2 linked regions of the Oreochromis niloticus genome follow. The protein of the gene in region 1 purifies or fractionates together with the protein of each later gene. This does not show direct contact. Links are inferred from orthologs where the notes say so. Each region holds a gene or a part of one and is shown in the gene's direction. Other genes may lie near its edges.

Region 1 (7,510 bases):
GTGTGTGTGTGTGTGGGAGAGAGAGACAGAGAGAGAGAGAGAGGGCGAGAGAGAGTTTTTATGGGAGCATCTTATTGTATGATTTAAATTCAATATATTTAGACTGGTTGACTGAATTTGATCCTGTGTGTGTCTCTCTGTGCTTGTGGGACTTTTTGCAGCTGTCCATTTTGCTTTTCCAATTTTTCTATTTAAGTTATTACTATTGTGCTAAGTCATAGCATTTGTGCTGCTTTTCAGTATTTGTGCTAAATACAGCATTTCTGCTAAATCATACTATTTCTGCTATTTTATAAGATTTGTGCTAAATACAGCATTTGTGCTAAATCATACTATTTCTGCTATTTTATAGGATTTGTACTTAATATAATATTTCTGCTTAATTATAGTATTTCTGCCATTTTATAGTATTTGTGCTAAAACATAGTATTTCTACTAAATGCAGTATTTCTGGGTAATCATTGTATTTCTATATATTTCTGCCAGGTCCCCAGGGAGTCAGTCCTAATATTCAAATTTACATATCAGGACCTGGACGGCTTCCCAGCCAGCCAATCATATCTGAGTCCTGGCACATTTAAATTTGCATATTGGGGCATTCATGGCTTCCCAGCCAGCCAATCATATCTGAGTCCTGGCACATTCAAATTTGCATATTGGGACCTTCATGGCTTCCCAGCCAGCCAATCATATCTGAGTCCTGGCACATTCAAATTTGCATATTGGGACCTTCATGGCTTCCCAGCCAGCCAATCATATCTGAGTCCTGGCACATTCAAATTTGCATATTGGGACCTTCATGGCTTCTCAGCCAGCCAATCATATCTGAGTCCTGGCACATTCAAATTTGCATATTGGGACCTTCGTGGCTTCTAAGCCCACCAATCATCTATGTCATATATCTCTAATATTTCATATTTTTATTTTAAATGGTCAGCATTTCAAGATTCCCCTATGTCTTCTGAATAAAATGGTCTAAGAATGACTGTTTTAGCCCCTACGGTTAGAAATTTATGGCTGTTTGTTTGAGGGGAATTCTCACTATGAGAAATAGACTGCAAAAATCCTGTCTCTCTCTGTGCTGCATGTGTAAAAGCCTGCACTTAGTGCACCAGTTTTGGCGGGAAAAAGCACACAGCCTCTCTGATTGGTGGATTCAAATTGAGAAGGTCACAGCTGTTTGACTGACCTAGAAACATGCTGTTAACAGCCCCTGTTGACTTTCTGCTGCTGCTGCTGCTGTGTGTGTGTGTGTGTGTGTGTGTGTGTGTGAGACAGAGAGAGAGAGAAAGGGAGGGCGAGAGAGAGTTTTTATGGGAGCATCTTATTGTATGATTTTAATTCAATATATTTAGACTGGTTGACTGAATTTGGTCCTGTGTGTGTCTCTCTGTGCATGTGTGTTTCAATATGTGTCCATATTTGTGATTGTGTGACTGTTATACTTTTTTTTGCTGATTTTCTTTTCATTTAACAATTACATTTGAGGGACCCTTAGCATGCTCAGGATTTTTTCAGCTGTCCATTTTGCTTTTCCAATTTTTCTATTTAAGTTATTACTATTGTGCTAAGTCATAGCATTTCTGCTGCTTTTCAGTATTTGTGCTAAATACAGCATTTCTGCTATTTTATAAGATTTGTGCTAAATATAGTATTTCTGTCAAATTACAGCATTTCTGCTATGTTGTACTGTTTCTCTAAATCATAGTATTTCTGTAATGTTTAAGAATGTTTGGCTAAATATATTCTTTCTGTTATCTTATACTATTTCTCCTAAATTCTTGTATTTTTGAGAAGTTATCGTGTTTCTAGTAAGTTACAATATTTCTGCTAAGTTCTGCTATGCTATTGTATTTCTGCCAAGTATTATGTTTCCTCTAAGATATTGCAGTTCTGCTAAGTAATTACATTTTTGCTAAGTTCTTATGCTTCTGCAAAGTTATTACAATTTTTTGCAAAGGTTTTACAACTTCTGCAACTTTTCAGCTTTTTCAGCTAGTTTCAGCTGACAGCTTCAGCTTTACAGCATCCACACTGCATTTTCGCAGGAAATGCAAATTTTTCTAGTTTTAGTTGAATTTGGATGTTGGGGCTTTCCTCTTTATTTGCAACTACACAAACAGATATGACCACCTATTTGTTGCAAGTGATCCTTTTGGTGTTTTTTTAATAACTAAACAAATGTCCAAGTGACATTTCCAAACTAGATGAATCTGTTCTCCATCCAACTTGACATGTATCGATGAATAAAAATACTAGCTTGCAAATATCAGTGTACACTGTGCACACACTGATGTTATATTGCTGAGGATGATTTTAACAAATAGTTTATCTCTGGTGCAGTCTGATGGTCTGATCAGAAATAATATAGTATCTGCTGCACAGTGATAGCAGACCTCAAGAGAATAACTAATCGCCACTAGGTGTCACAGTGGCTGTTTGTAAAAGATGAGCCAGCACCTGCTCTCTGTTTGCCTGTCTGCCACATTCAGTGTAGAGTCTTATGTGTTACACGTTCCTCTACCAAATCTACAGAGTAACTCTGTCAGGGAGCTTTTAGAAAATTATACTAGCTAAATAAATGATTAAAAGATACACTCAAATTAGGCGTATTTTTCCTGTGAAAACAGGGATAAAATAATATTGGATTCAAGCACCATTTGCTGGAAGCAAATGTCACCTGCACTGGATGTGAAGGTATTCTCAGTACCTGAGATATTTTGACAATTTTGAACATTTTGAGGTCAGCTGTTTTGTATTACATGGCTTTTATACACTTTTCTCTGTGCAGGAGAAATGAAGATCTCTTAAAAGGTAATGTGAACTTGGCTATCTGTGATAAATCATTATACAAACGAGCCAAACTTACTAATTTGAACTCAAGGAAATAGGCCATAGCATCCGGAAAAGAATATTGAATACTGCATTACTCCTCAGAATGTATGTCAGTTGGCTGATAACAGAAACACTGAAAATAAGTCTGTCAATAAGGCATTGCACCACAGGTTTCTAGAACAGTTTGCAAAAAAAGAAATTTGTTATGTTTTCCAAAATATTTTGGTAATATTATAATTAACATTACCAACCTGTGCGTACGCCTGGTGGCTAGAATATCTATTTGGGGGCTTTTTTTTTCAAGCACACCAATCATTTTAGTAACTACTGTCATCATTCTGGAAGAATGAACTTTCATCAGGACCATGAATGCTTCACTGTAGGACAAATGTCATCACTCTGTATGACTTTGAAGTGACTTGTACGTACAATGGCAATGCAGGGATTGAAAAGGGATTCACTGGACCAAATCCCCACCTGTAAAAAAAGAGGCGAGCAGTCAGAACTCTTCGCAAAAATGAGGTGAGGTCCCTGTATTCTTCTTTTTTTCTTCTTCTAAGGCAACACAAGTTTGCCTTTTCAGAGCTATTCATCAGACTGTTTAATTTTTCCCTGCTGCTCAGTACATTGCTACATTTTCTCATACCTGAGAAGATGTAGTTTCATAGGCAGGTAAAGCTGGATTTTTAAAAAAGGTTTAAACACTGGAAATTAAAAAACTAAAAAATGGAGAATGTATCTCTTAAGTTTGAATCTCGCACCACATTGATATGCACAGCAAATGTCATTTTTTATCATAGTCTAACCATTTGACCCTTTTTCTACAACTCTCATTATTGATGATGTTTACTTTTAGAGCAGCATTTCAAGCTGTATCCTACGTAGTGTCCCAATAAAAGAGACCTACATTTATATTCTGATAGTGGACTTTTTTTTTTTTTTAACAATTTCATATAAATTTAGAACTGTTGACAGTAGAGTCCAGGAAAGTAATGCTGAAGTAGCAGCAGATAGTTGCCCCTCCTTAAAGCGGGTACTTCCTGTTAAGATGGTGTTTTTCTGTTCCACCTTCACCCAGTGCCTGCTCATAGGGGGACGTTTGATTGTTGGGCTTTTCATTCTAATGCTTTAAGCTCCTTACCTTGCAGGATGAAGTGCAACATTTGCTATGATTTGGCAGTATGTAAATAAAATGAACCTTAATTGAATTCCTCCTGAAATTGACTGTCTTTAAGTTTGTGAGGGGGGGTTTGGTACTCCACTACATTTTCAGAGAAAAATTTCTCCTAAATATCACATAATCAGACCAAACTTTTTGTGTTATAATCCTTCCACCGTAGTTCTGCAAGGAAACACTGCTCAAGAAACTGAAAAGGGGATTTACTTTTTACTAAAAGTATTGCAACTGGGTCAGCTATCTTGACTAAGTAAGTTTGGTTTGATTAACTCAGTCTAACTATAGATTGTCTGTGTTATTGCAAAGAATGGAATAACTTGTACTGAAAGTGATTTAGTAGGTGTCTTCTAATTGTCATTATAACAGCAAGAGTAGATACAGCAAACAGTAACTACAGCAACAAGCTCTCAATGTACATTAGCAATAAAACGGGCCTGAAACTACAAAACATAAATAAAAGGGCATTCATCTTTTGTAGTTTCACTTTTGGTTTGTCAGGTAAGCTACATTAGGATAACAAGATATATTTTCATTTTAATTCAGTTTTGAATGTGCAAATTTTACATGTACTTCGTTGTTATACATTTTACTGGTGCTAAGATGTCAAGTCCTCCTGACGCTTGAAGGAGCACCTGTCGTCCCAACATCCTTTGCGTTTCCAATATGGAAGAACTGGCGGTGGAGGTCCGTGGCTCCAACGGGGCTTATTACAAGGTAAATACCGGCTTATCAATACAGTTTCAAGCATAAAAGTTTTTCATACGGTACAGTATTCTAGTTTAAGTCTCGTGGATTGTGGCAACATGATCCGACTTCCTCTGTACGTACCCGAGAGTTCGATATTAGCTTGTACTAGCAGTGCTAGCCATAATTAGCAAGCTAAGCTAGCGTCACTCCCATGTCCTCGCCAGCTGACGCTTTTGAGGACCTTTCTTTAAAGCCAGTTTGGAAGAACCGCAGTCTTGCATGCGATAACTTGAATACACAACACAGGGTAGCAGTTATTAATTTTACTTGACTTCTTGTGCAGCTTTCTCGAGCTGAAAGTTAGCTAACTTGATAGTTGCCTAGCTGTTGACGTCGAAAGATGTTGCTGAAGTAAGTAGTATCTGCATGTGTCATCATTGGCTATTGAGCTGATATCAGAAACACGGAGGACCAGCCCATTATACCTTCACGTAGTTTATTAAAGTGTGTCATGTTGTGAAGGCACCGTGGTTGGTGGTGTGAGAGATTTTGAAGTCTCTCTGCACAGACTTCACGACTGACTGTCGCTGTCTATTATTTGATACTCCATCATGCCGAAGCTATTTTTTCGGTATGTGTGAGCCAGCTGTTCCTTGTCAATCCCGACCAGCTGGCATGTGTGTCGAGTGGGTCACTGATACCATCGACTCTAAAGCTATTTCTAGACGTGCTGCCCACAGCAACACCCTCGCCTCTTCTCCCCCTATGTCTCCTCTCTCTTCTCATTTTTCTCCAAACTTCCAAGTTTTTCTTTCTTGTCTCACCTTCACAGCCCATGACTTCTTTTGTACTACTGCATTTTCACACTGTGCTCATTGCTTTTCCTTATTTAACCCAACCCTTTTCCCTGGGCGATTCTGTCTACCCTGCCACCGCTGTGTCTTAAACTCTTTAAACATACGTGTGTGTGCTTTCTTTGAATGTAATCAACACCGTCCTTCACGCAAGCGAGACACATGGCTTAAATAAGTGTCTGAACGCATTGAACCTGGGGTTCAGTACTGTCAAGTGTGGTGTGTGGGGTTGGGTACCTTTCACGTCTAACACTAGCACAGGTGTGGTGCCAAAAAATGATCCACTGTCAAAACTGATTTCTGATGTTTCTGTGTGTGCGTGTGTGTGTTTTCTTTTTGTTGTTGCTTTTTTTAATGATATCTTTACTTATATTGTTAAATAGACTGTAGTCATTAGAATTTATGAAGGAGTTATACGTTAAGTAAAGAAGTTACTAGTTTTACAGTGTTTTTACGTCTCTCTGTTATTGTGCCTGTGTATGAAAGAACTGTGATGATATATTTGTTGCGTTTTCCACTGCCCTCTTGGCCAGATCTCTCTTGAAAAAGACTTTTGTAATGTCAATAACACTTTTTGGATAAATAAAGGATATATAAAAGTAATTTTGCAGCTTCTACCTTGTGATAGGAATGTTGTTTGTAGCATCAAAATGACTTGATACCTTTCATAAGAGATATATTTGCCATATGTTTGACAGATTATAGGCTAACAAGTAATTTTACAACAGATAAAACAGATTTTTGGCAAATACTGGAAAGCAGTTCAAAACTTTCTCTTGCAAAACAAGTCCATACTTATCAAATCTATCATTTTGTTATTTATTTATTTATTTATTTAGATATTTTACACACTAAACTATCTGTGTTGGTCGCTATCTGTTACCATCAGTGATGCTGATGTCACTGTCGCAGTGTTAACATACCACAGTATTAAATAGTAGTGCTAGACTATTATCGGTTGTGGTTACATATTAAGGTTTCAGACATGCTATCTCACATAGTGTAAGAAAGTATGATTGTTTACTGCAGATAATATGCTAATAAATGCAGTGTTAAATATGTTAAAACATAAACTAAGACAGTGACAACAAAGCTCTATTTCTCTGACAGTAATTGATCTAACTCCCAAATTACCTGAAGAAGCTCATGAAGCTGTCAGTGTCTCACTAAAATACTTTTCTTCAGTTCATTGCCACTGTCCTTTGTTTTTGTTGTTCTTTTGTTTGTTTTCTGGTACTGAAATTTGACAGAAGAATAGCACCAAAAGTGAAAGGGAAGATTTTCAAGAGGGTATTGAAAGTTGCTGGTTTCACTGCCTGCAAGTTTGGCTTTGATTCAAAGAGAGGAAGCCAAGCTGGAGGTGGCAGAAGTGAAGATGTTTAGATTTTCAGTAGAAAATGTAATGAATGGACAAGATTAGAAATTAGTACATCAGAGCAACAGCTCAGGTTGAGCATATTGGAGACAAAGTTAGAGAGGCAAGGCTGAGATGGTTTGGACATGTGCAGAGGAGGGACATAATGGAAAAAGGATGTTGAAGATGGAGCTGCCAGGCAGGAAGAAATGAGGACATCACAGATGGTTTATGGATGTAATGATGGAGGACATGCAGACTGTTGGTGTGACAAAGAAGAATGCTAGGGATAGGGTGACATGGAAGCAGATGGTCTGCTGTGGGAACCCCTGAAGGAACCAGCTGAAAGAAGTCTTTGTTTATGGCTTTCAGATTTTACTAGTCCAGTTTTAAGATCTCTGCTGCAGAGATTTAACAACAGTATAGTTATTACATTTTTTCATCCATATGAAAAATTACAGCCATTGACGATCAGTTTACTAATAGATAAATACCTTGGTTTTATTTTGAAAGTTTGGCTGCTATTACTCATTGAGTGTTGTGGCGGTCATCAGTATCAGTCAGCTGCTAATTGACATCCAACATCCTGAAAGTTGGAGTGAA
Region 2 (7,143 bases), on another chromosome or scaffold:
TTGTGCTGCATTTGTCTGCATTTTTTGTTGTTATTGTTGTTGTTTCCGATGCTTGTTATTGTGCTAGTGTTTACCCTCACTGTTTCACAAACGCTATTATGCAGATTCGAATGCAGTCTGATTTTATTCTATCTATCATTATGACGCACGATAATATTATCGGAAGGTCTTTATAGTAACAAAAAGAGGAGGAATAAAATACTGCTTAATGAGTTGCAGTCCATTTGTAAAGTTAGTGTTTAAGTTTAAGTTAGTGTTGTCAAAGTTCAAAGTGCGCTGCATTACATAATCAGAGACGTTGCAAAACCACACCCAAGTGTAATGAAGTTTACTTGCTGATTCGTGCATGTATAGCAGATACTTATAAATATAACTATAGAAATATGCTGGTTGAGCCAATCATGCAATAGAATTTAATTGCATGGGAAATATCTGAAGTGCTCTGTGTGTGTGTGTGTGTACTCCAGTGCTGCCAGTATGGAGGGAGATCCTCTCTCAGCCCTGTTTACTCCTGCTTTTGTGGTGGATGTGGATAAAGCGAAGAGGAATGCCCAGAGGATGATCGAGCGCTGCCAGAAACTGGGAGTCCAGCTTCGTCCACACATGAAGACCCACAAAACCCTGTATGGATTCATATGCTCACGCATAGACACGCACACAGCACATGCTTACAGACTTGCTGTGTATACAGGATTCTGATGAGGTCTCTGTGTGTGTCCAGTGAGTGTGCTGACATTATGACGGGTGGATCACAGAGGTGCATAGTGGTTTCCACCCTGGCAGAGGCCTGTTTCTATGCTGACCATGGATATGATGACATCCTCTATGCCTACTCTGTTCCCTTTGATAAGGTTCTCTCAGCTCACACTTTAAATGTGTCCTTGTTTTATATTCTGTGAAATCATAAAAGCTGTAAAAAATTAGAAATGGAAAAAATATATTATTAATAACTGAGCCTGCTGAAAATGTATCAACTATGAATCATATTTAGTAATATTATCACTAGAAACAATACATATATGTAAATATATGATACATGTATATCGCCATAGCACTTGCATGTAAAATAGCTCCAGTTCTATGCCATTACTTTGACATAATTTCTCATCTGTTTTATATTTGTTAGTTTTTAATGTCCCAGCTGTGCTCTCTGTGCCATTTCTAATGTATGTCTCTGTGTGTCTTTAGGTAGAGCGTTGTGCAGCCCTGTCAGAGAGACTGGATCTCTTCCAGATTTTATTGGACCATCCTGATGCTTTGGAGCAGCTCCGAAAAAGACCCCTGAAAGATGGTCGGCAGTGGCACGTCTGGCTCAAACTCGACTGTGGCAATGGGAGAGGTAAACGTGCAGGGAAACCGCAATAGATCTAATCATAAGTGCCTGAGCTACACTTCACCTCTCTGTTAACACGAGGTTTGATCATGCGTCGGCTCTTTGTCATAGCTGGCGTCCTGCACTCGGAGCCAGGAGCGCTCAAACTGGCTGAAGCCATCGCTAAGACGGAGGGCGTGGAACTTACAGGAGTGTACGCCCACTGTGGGAATACCTATTACTGCACAGGAGTTGAGCAAATACAGGCTGTTGCCCAGGAAACCACCAAACTGACTCTGCAGTTCATGGAAAAGTAAGCTGAAAGTTTAAAAAAATACATGTACACTGACTCATTAAAGCTGCTCTAATCAATCATTTTATTTCACTGGCTATTTAAGAACACACACGACATAAAAGCTGTTGCTCATACTCTTGAAAAATTAGTTTTTATGACCTATTTTAACATCTTTGTTTTAGTTTCACAGCCCACAGGTTTCTTGTATTGAGTCACACAGCTTTGTTTCCAGAAGCAACAAATAAATCATACATCATATCTAAAAATGATGTATCCCATCTTTTGCACCAGGCTGTAAACATGTTTATTTCTCCTCTAAATTTGAGCATTTTCTTGTGGGTGTGATTGACTCTTTTAGAGCCACCTGGAAGAATAATTCTGCATTAACTTTGTCTTTCAACTGGTTTTTTGTTTGTTTGTTTTGGGATTTTTTGTGTCAGACTGAAGGCTGTTGGCATCACCTGTAAGTCCAGCATTGGCTCCACCCCTACCTGTAGCCATCCAGTCAAAGACATGGCGCAGCTTAGCGAGGTCCACCCAGGAAACTACGTCTTCTATGGTGTGTACACGTAGACCCACTGTTTCCTAGTTTAAGTGTGACGTGTAAAATCCACTTTTTCGTTATTTGTTGTGTATATTCAATATTCCCAGCGTGACCCAGTAAACATGACACAGACCATGCCCTTTGATTTCACATCAGATGGGAAACATAGAATCGAAAGAGCCCTTTGCCCTATAAAAACAGTCCCTGACCGTACTGTGCTCTTAAGGTCATGATATTGCTGCCTCTTAGTTTTGTCTACTTGCCCCGACATGTTTCTAGTTCACTTCGGGACCCGACAACATTTAAAGCTACAGGCGCTGAAACAGCCTGTTTGGAGCAGAGGTTTATTAAACAGTCTATAGGTATGGCAGGATAAATGACCTTATTGGTATTTTGAGCTGAGGAATAGTCGGGAGACATGTCACATGTCACACTTAAAATATATTTTTCAAAAGGGCCTTTAAATAACAATTTCTTTTAAATGTATGTTTGTGGGATGCAGATGTGCAGCAGTCTACGATTGGCTCATGCTGTCTGGAGGACGTGGCTGTGAGGGTTCTCACAAGAGTCATCGGTCACTGTCCACACAGGAACCAGCTCCTGATTGACTGTGGATGGGCTGGAATCAGGTGGGTTCAACTTCATTCAGTGGGAGCTAATACCTATCCCCTATGTTCTGTTTTTTGTTTTACTCATCACTGCTATCATCAGTGTAAGCTCTGTTTTGGAACAACCATGTAACTTAACCTTTTACCTACTCTTGCTTGTGTCTCTCAGTTTGGACGGAGCTGGGAAACTTCCCACTGGATATGCTGTGATCGAGGGGCATCCAAACCTCAAGTAATGCTTCAAAAAAAAAAAGAAATCTCAGTCTATTTTAGTATCTTTTTTCTCTATAACTCTCAGTACCAATGTTAAACGTGACTGGCGTTTCCCTCCAGGTTGTTGTCTATGACCCAGGAGCATGGACGAGTGGAGCCCATCTCAGGACAACTGGACTACAGCAAATACCCCCTGGGCTCTCTGCTCACACTGATTCCCTACCACGTTAGTACTGAATGATTTATAGCACATCTTATTGACACATCAGTTTTATTGTACATTTTCCTGTTGTCAGACAATGCCTTTTTTCTGCAGTCATGTGCAACAGCAGTGATGCATCCTGTGTACCATGTACACTCTGAGGGTCGTCTGGTAGGGAAGTGGACGCCCACTCGCGGGTGGTGAAGAGCTGGACGATGTTTCCCCCTTCTTGTCTCTTTGGGACAGATGAGCTATATAGAGACTCATTCCAAATTATTTACACATTAGAAACACATACAGCGATTCCTTCTTTGTTAGTGAGATGTGTCATCTTGATGGTAAAACATACAATTAATGAAAATATTCTTACTGTGGGCTTCAGAAGTTTCATATTGTAACAGAAACCCTGTTTCACTAATTTAAATCTCTTTAAAATTAATTGTGTTCTGCACTTGTTTTGTCACTTTTTCACGGCCTACAAGAAGACCTAGCTAGTGATGACTTCATAAAAAGAAAGATGTTTTGTGCTATCAGCTATTAATACCAGTGCTAATAAATGCTAATGAATGACCTTTTATATACAACTGCAAACTTTTGTGATTTATTTTTTCTAACAAAATAAAAAGTTTCTTGGTCCCCTTTAGTCTTCTATTTTTCTGTAATCTATGAATAGATAATTGCCAGCGTTTGAACGGACACGTAAAAAATATCTTGGTGATAAATGTTATTTTTTTTTAATATTACAGAAAATACATCATTCGCATTAATAGTAACCTACATTACTTATTGAAAATATAATAATTAATCAGTCGGCAAAAACCCTTCCCCTGTAGGGTTCTAGCCGCACAGACTGAGCTGTTGTTCGAAGTGCATCTTGGGAAATGTGGTTTTAGCTGGAAGCAGCGTTCCAGTTGGCCACTGAATGACCTTTCACTTGTCACATGGTTTAAAAACTTCAGCAGGATGGCGCGGAAACTTGTCCCAGCAGCACACTGCCTTGCTGTCACTGTGTGAAAGTTGTGTTTACATTTTTGTGTGGCGGTACTGACGCTGTACAGTAAGTTGTGTCGTTTTAGACGCATTTTTGTTTCTGTTTTTATTTCCCACTTTTATTTGGACTTTCGGCGTGTGGCCGCTGATTGAAGCAGGGCTGTTTCTCGCTGTTTGAGAAGAATGGCCGCCCCCACAGTGTTCGTGAATAGAAACGGACTGAATGAAAACCTGCGTTAGGAACTACACCTCTGAAAAGCAAAGCATATTTTGTAGTGTTACAAGCAACTAACTAAAGTCGCGCTGTTTGTCGTTGTTATCTTTAGTCATGAGTGTGCTGGAGGTGAAGTTCATCGGGGATTGCGATGTCCTGGAGCACATCGTGGACAAGCAGGAGGGTATGGATGCTCTGCTACTGTAGAAATGTTAGTTTACGAGCACTTCTGTGTCTCTCTGACTCTGCTGTCTGTACTGTGCGTACCTCCATAAGTTGCGCAGAGCATCGCCGGGTCCGTTCAGAAGATGGTAAAGTTTAAGAGCCCGGCTGGACGACGGGGATGCGGAGAGGATGCGGAACATGATGGAGATGAAAATGGAGTCCACGATGAGCAGGATTATGTCCAAGCTTTAGGAACAGATAATGCAGAAGGTGAGTGCTGAGCAGGGGTAATGACTTTCTTCACCGGGAGGTTTGTTTTCTTTGCAGACAGACCGTGATCAGCTGACGATACTGCTGACTCAGGTTTACTGCTCTTTGTAGATTTACCCAAATACGTTTGGAAAAATGCAGACAGACGTTGGCTGATTTTCTAACTCTACACAGTCAGGCAAAGTACAAATGTGGAATTTCGCAAGTGCTGGTTTACCAGCTGAAATTCAAATCAATGACAGAGATTTGCATATAGTTAGCTCAAATCCCCTACAAAATCCTTGTAAAAATATTCATGTCACAGAGGTACTTATGATTATGGCAGGAGACTTTCTGTACACCTCAGTTTCACTCCATTGCACACATTAAGTGTGTTTGTCAGATGGACTATATTGCTGATATTAACATATTATATGCTTATCAGTACTGGCATATAGGTTGTTTGATTACATGAGTTTAAAAATCTTTTTAAAATTTTTGGTGGGAATTTTGAACATTCATAATGCTGTGAAATTTTAGCTTTGTATAAATGCATGAAAAATATATGAGGCTTTTTTTTTCTTTCTTTTTTTAAATTCATTTTAAAATGACCAGTTTTCTCTTGGATTTACAGAAGATGAAGATGGCTTGTCAAGAGTGGCTGGATCCTCCATCTTTACCTTTCAGAAAGTTAAACGCAGCCACAGCATGGCCCAAACTGGTGAGAGCCTCCATTCTCTTCTCACATAGATCGGAAAATTCGCACATTATACATCTCCTTCCAGTTCTTTCTTTAGATACCATATATGCTCATTTTGTGTTGCACACTTTCCATAAACAGCAAGTGAGCTGGCTCGGACTCCTGGAAAAAGCGTGAGCTTCAGCACGACCCCAAACTTTGAACCCTCAACCCCCAGTCGAACGGGGTGGAGTGAGTACAATGAACTTTCATAATCTTTTCCGTATACTCATCTTTTTGCTCATTTTCACACAGTTAAATATTTTCTTTTCTTCTATTTCAGACCCTAGAGGTGAAAGCAGAACACCACAGAAGGTGAGACCATAGAAACCTTTAAACTTAAAGTCCAAAGCCAGCGACCTCTGGTGCCAACTTAAGAATTTTATTTTATTTTTATTTAACGGCAGAGCAAAAAGGTCCAGTTTGTCTCTACAACACCACACAGGCTCAGGAAGAGAATAGCAAGTGAGTCTAACTGGGAATAATTCAATTCATTCTAAGTGAAATTTCACCTTTCCTCTAATCTAAATGTTTTGTTTTTGTTTGTTTGTTTGTTTGTTTGTTTTTAGCTCCGAGCTTGCGGTCAGACAGCGACAGTGAGCTTTCACCCTCTGACTCGGGTGAGGAGGAGGATGAAGATGGGCTGGAGGAAGAGCAGAAAGGAAAGAAAGAGGATAAAGAGAACGTGACCACACCGAGAACTCCCAGTAAAGGTTTATCAGCGGCTCTCTACAAGACTCCTGCCAAGAAGAGCAAGAGCACGCCCGAACCTCAGAACCAGCCCAGTATGGTTGAGGAGTACTTCGAAGCTCACGGCAGCTCGAAAGTGTTGACATCAGACCGAACTCTGGAGCGTTTGAACACCCCTAAACTTGACAGGGTTTGTTTTTAACGGCATTTTGAAACATTGTAAATGAGCTGCTTTCCTAATAGATTTAGTGTGAATTTATCTTTATTTTTGTTTTTGCAGGAAATGTTGGTCCGACTTCTGGAGGGGAAACAATCCTGCTACTCAAAAGAGATCCAGCAGCTGCACGACAAACACAGAATCCACTTTAGCAAATGGATGTTACAGTTACAGTAAGTGAGGTTGCAACGTAGTTGTATGCATTTTTCTGGTGTTTTAAGAGCAGTAAAAAGTGTCTGTGCCTGTCTGTGTGTAGGCTGGGATTCAGCGTGCTGGTCTACGGTCTGGGAAGCAAAAAAGCTCTGCTGGAAGACTTCAGGGAGTGTCATCTGTCGCAAGAAATTCATCTTGTGGTTAATGGATTTTTCCCTTCCATTACTCTTAAATCAGTCAGTATACACACACACACATGAAAATATTTTGCATAAATTGCATAATAAAATAAATATCCCTGATCATGAAAATTAAATTCTCACAGATATTAAATGCTCTGACGTGTGAGGTTCTGGATCACCAGGGAACTTTCCGAACCCCCTCGGACCAGATCCAGTTTATCTCCCACACCTTAAAAGATAGTAAGCCCATCAAACCCCTGTGCATCCCAAGCATGTGTGGTTGTACCGCATGTTTTACACCGATGTCCTCACAGGCCCAGATCTGCACGTGTACCTGCTCATCCATAATATAGACGGACCCATGCTGCGA

The links.
Region 2: the proteins of fxr1 (region 1) and orc2 purify together in Homo sapiens (affinity purification with mass spectrometry; 4 studies listed by BioGRID and IntAct, with this or other methods). This does not show direct contact. The link is inferred for Oreochromis niloticus from reciprocal best matches to the Homo sapiens genes FXR1 and ORC2.

Annotation. Positions count from the first base shown.
Region 1 is NC_031981.2:30,302,467-30,309,976, forward strand, and holds the start of fxr1 (RNA-binding protein FXR1), read left to right. Parts: upstream 1-4,405; 5' UTR 4,406-4,510; intron 4,511-4,612; 5' UTR 4,613-4,675; coding exon 4,676-4,726; intron 4,727-7,510. UniProt on the Homo sapiens protein: mRNA-binding protein that acts as a regulator of mRNAs translation and/or stability, and which is required for various processes, such as neurogenesis, muscle development and spermatogenesis.
Region 2 is NC_031982.2:7,479,050-7,486,192, forward strand, and holds the start of orc2 (origin recognition complex subunit 2), read left to right. Parts: upstream 1-4,072; 5' UTR 4,073-4,231; intron 4,232-4,490; 5' UTR 4,491-4,492; coding exon 4,493-4,562; intron 4,563-4,654; coding exon 4,655-4,813; intron 4,814-5,426; coding exon 5,427-5,513; intron 5,514-5,633; coding exon 5,634-5,723; intron 5,724-5,814; coding exon 5,815-5,846; intron 5,847-5,938; coding exon 5,939-5,996; intron 5,997-6,100; coding exon 6,101-6,411; intron 6,412-6,501; coding exon 6,502-6,611; intron 6,612-6,694; coding exon 6,695-6,827; intron 6,828-6,916; coding exon 6,917-7,013; intron 7,014-7,087; coding exon 7,088-7,143. Other genes in the region: uncharacterized protein LOC100700781, read left to right, coding at 478-623, 722-851, 1,189-1,339, 1,445-1,625, 2,048-2,166, 2,654-2,780, 2,929-2,991, 3,093-3,198 and 1 more. UniProt on the Homo sapiens protein: Component of the origin recognition complex (ORC) that binds origins of replication. DNA-binding is ATP-dependent. The specific DNA sequences that define origins of replication have not been identified yet.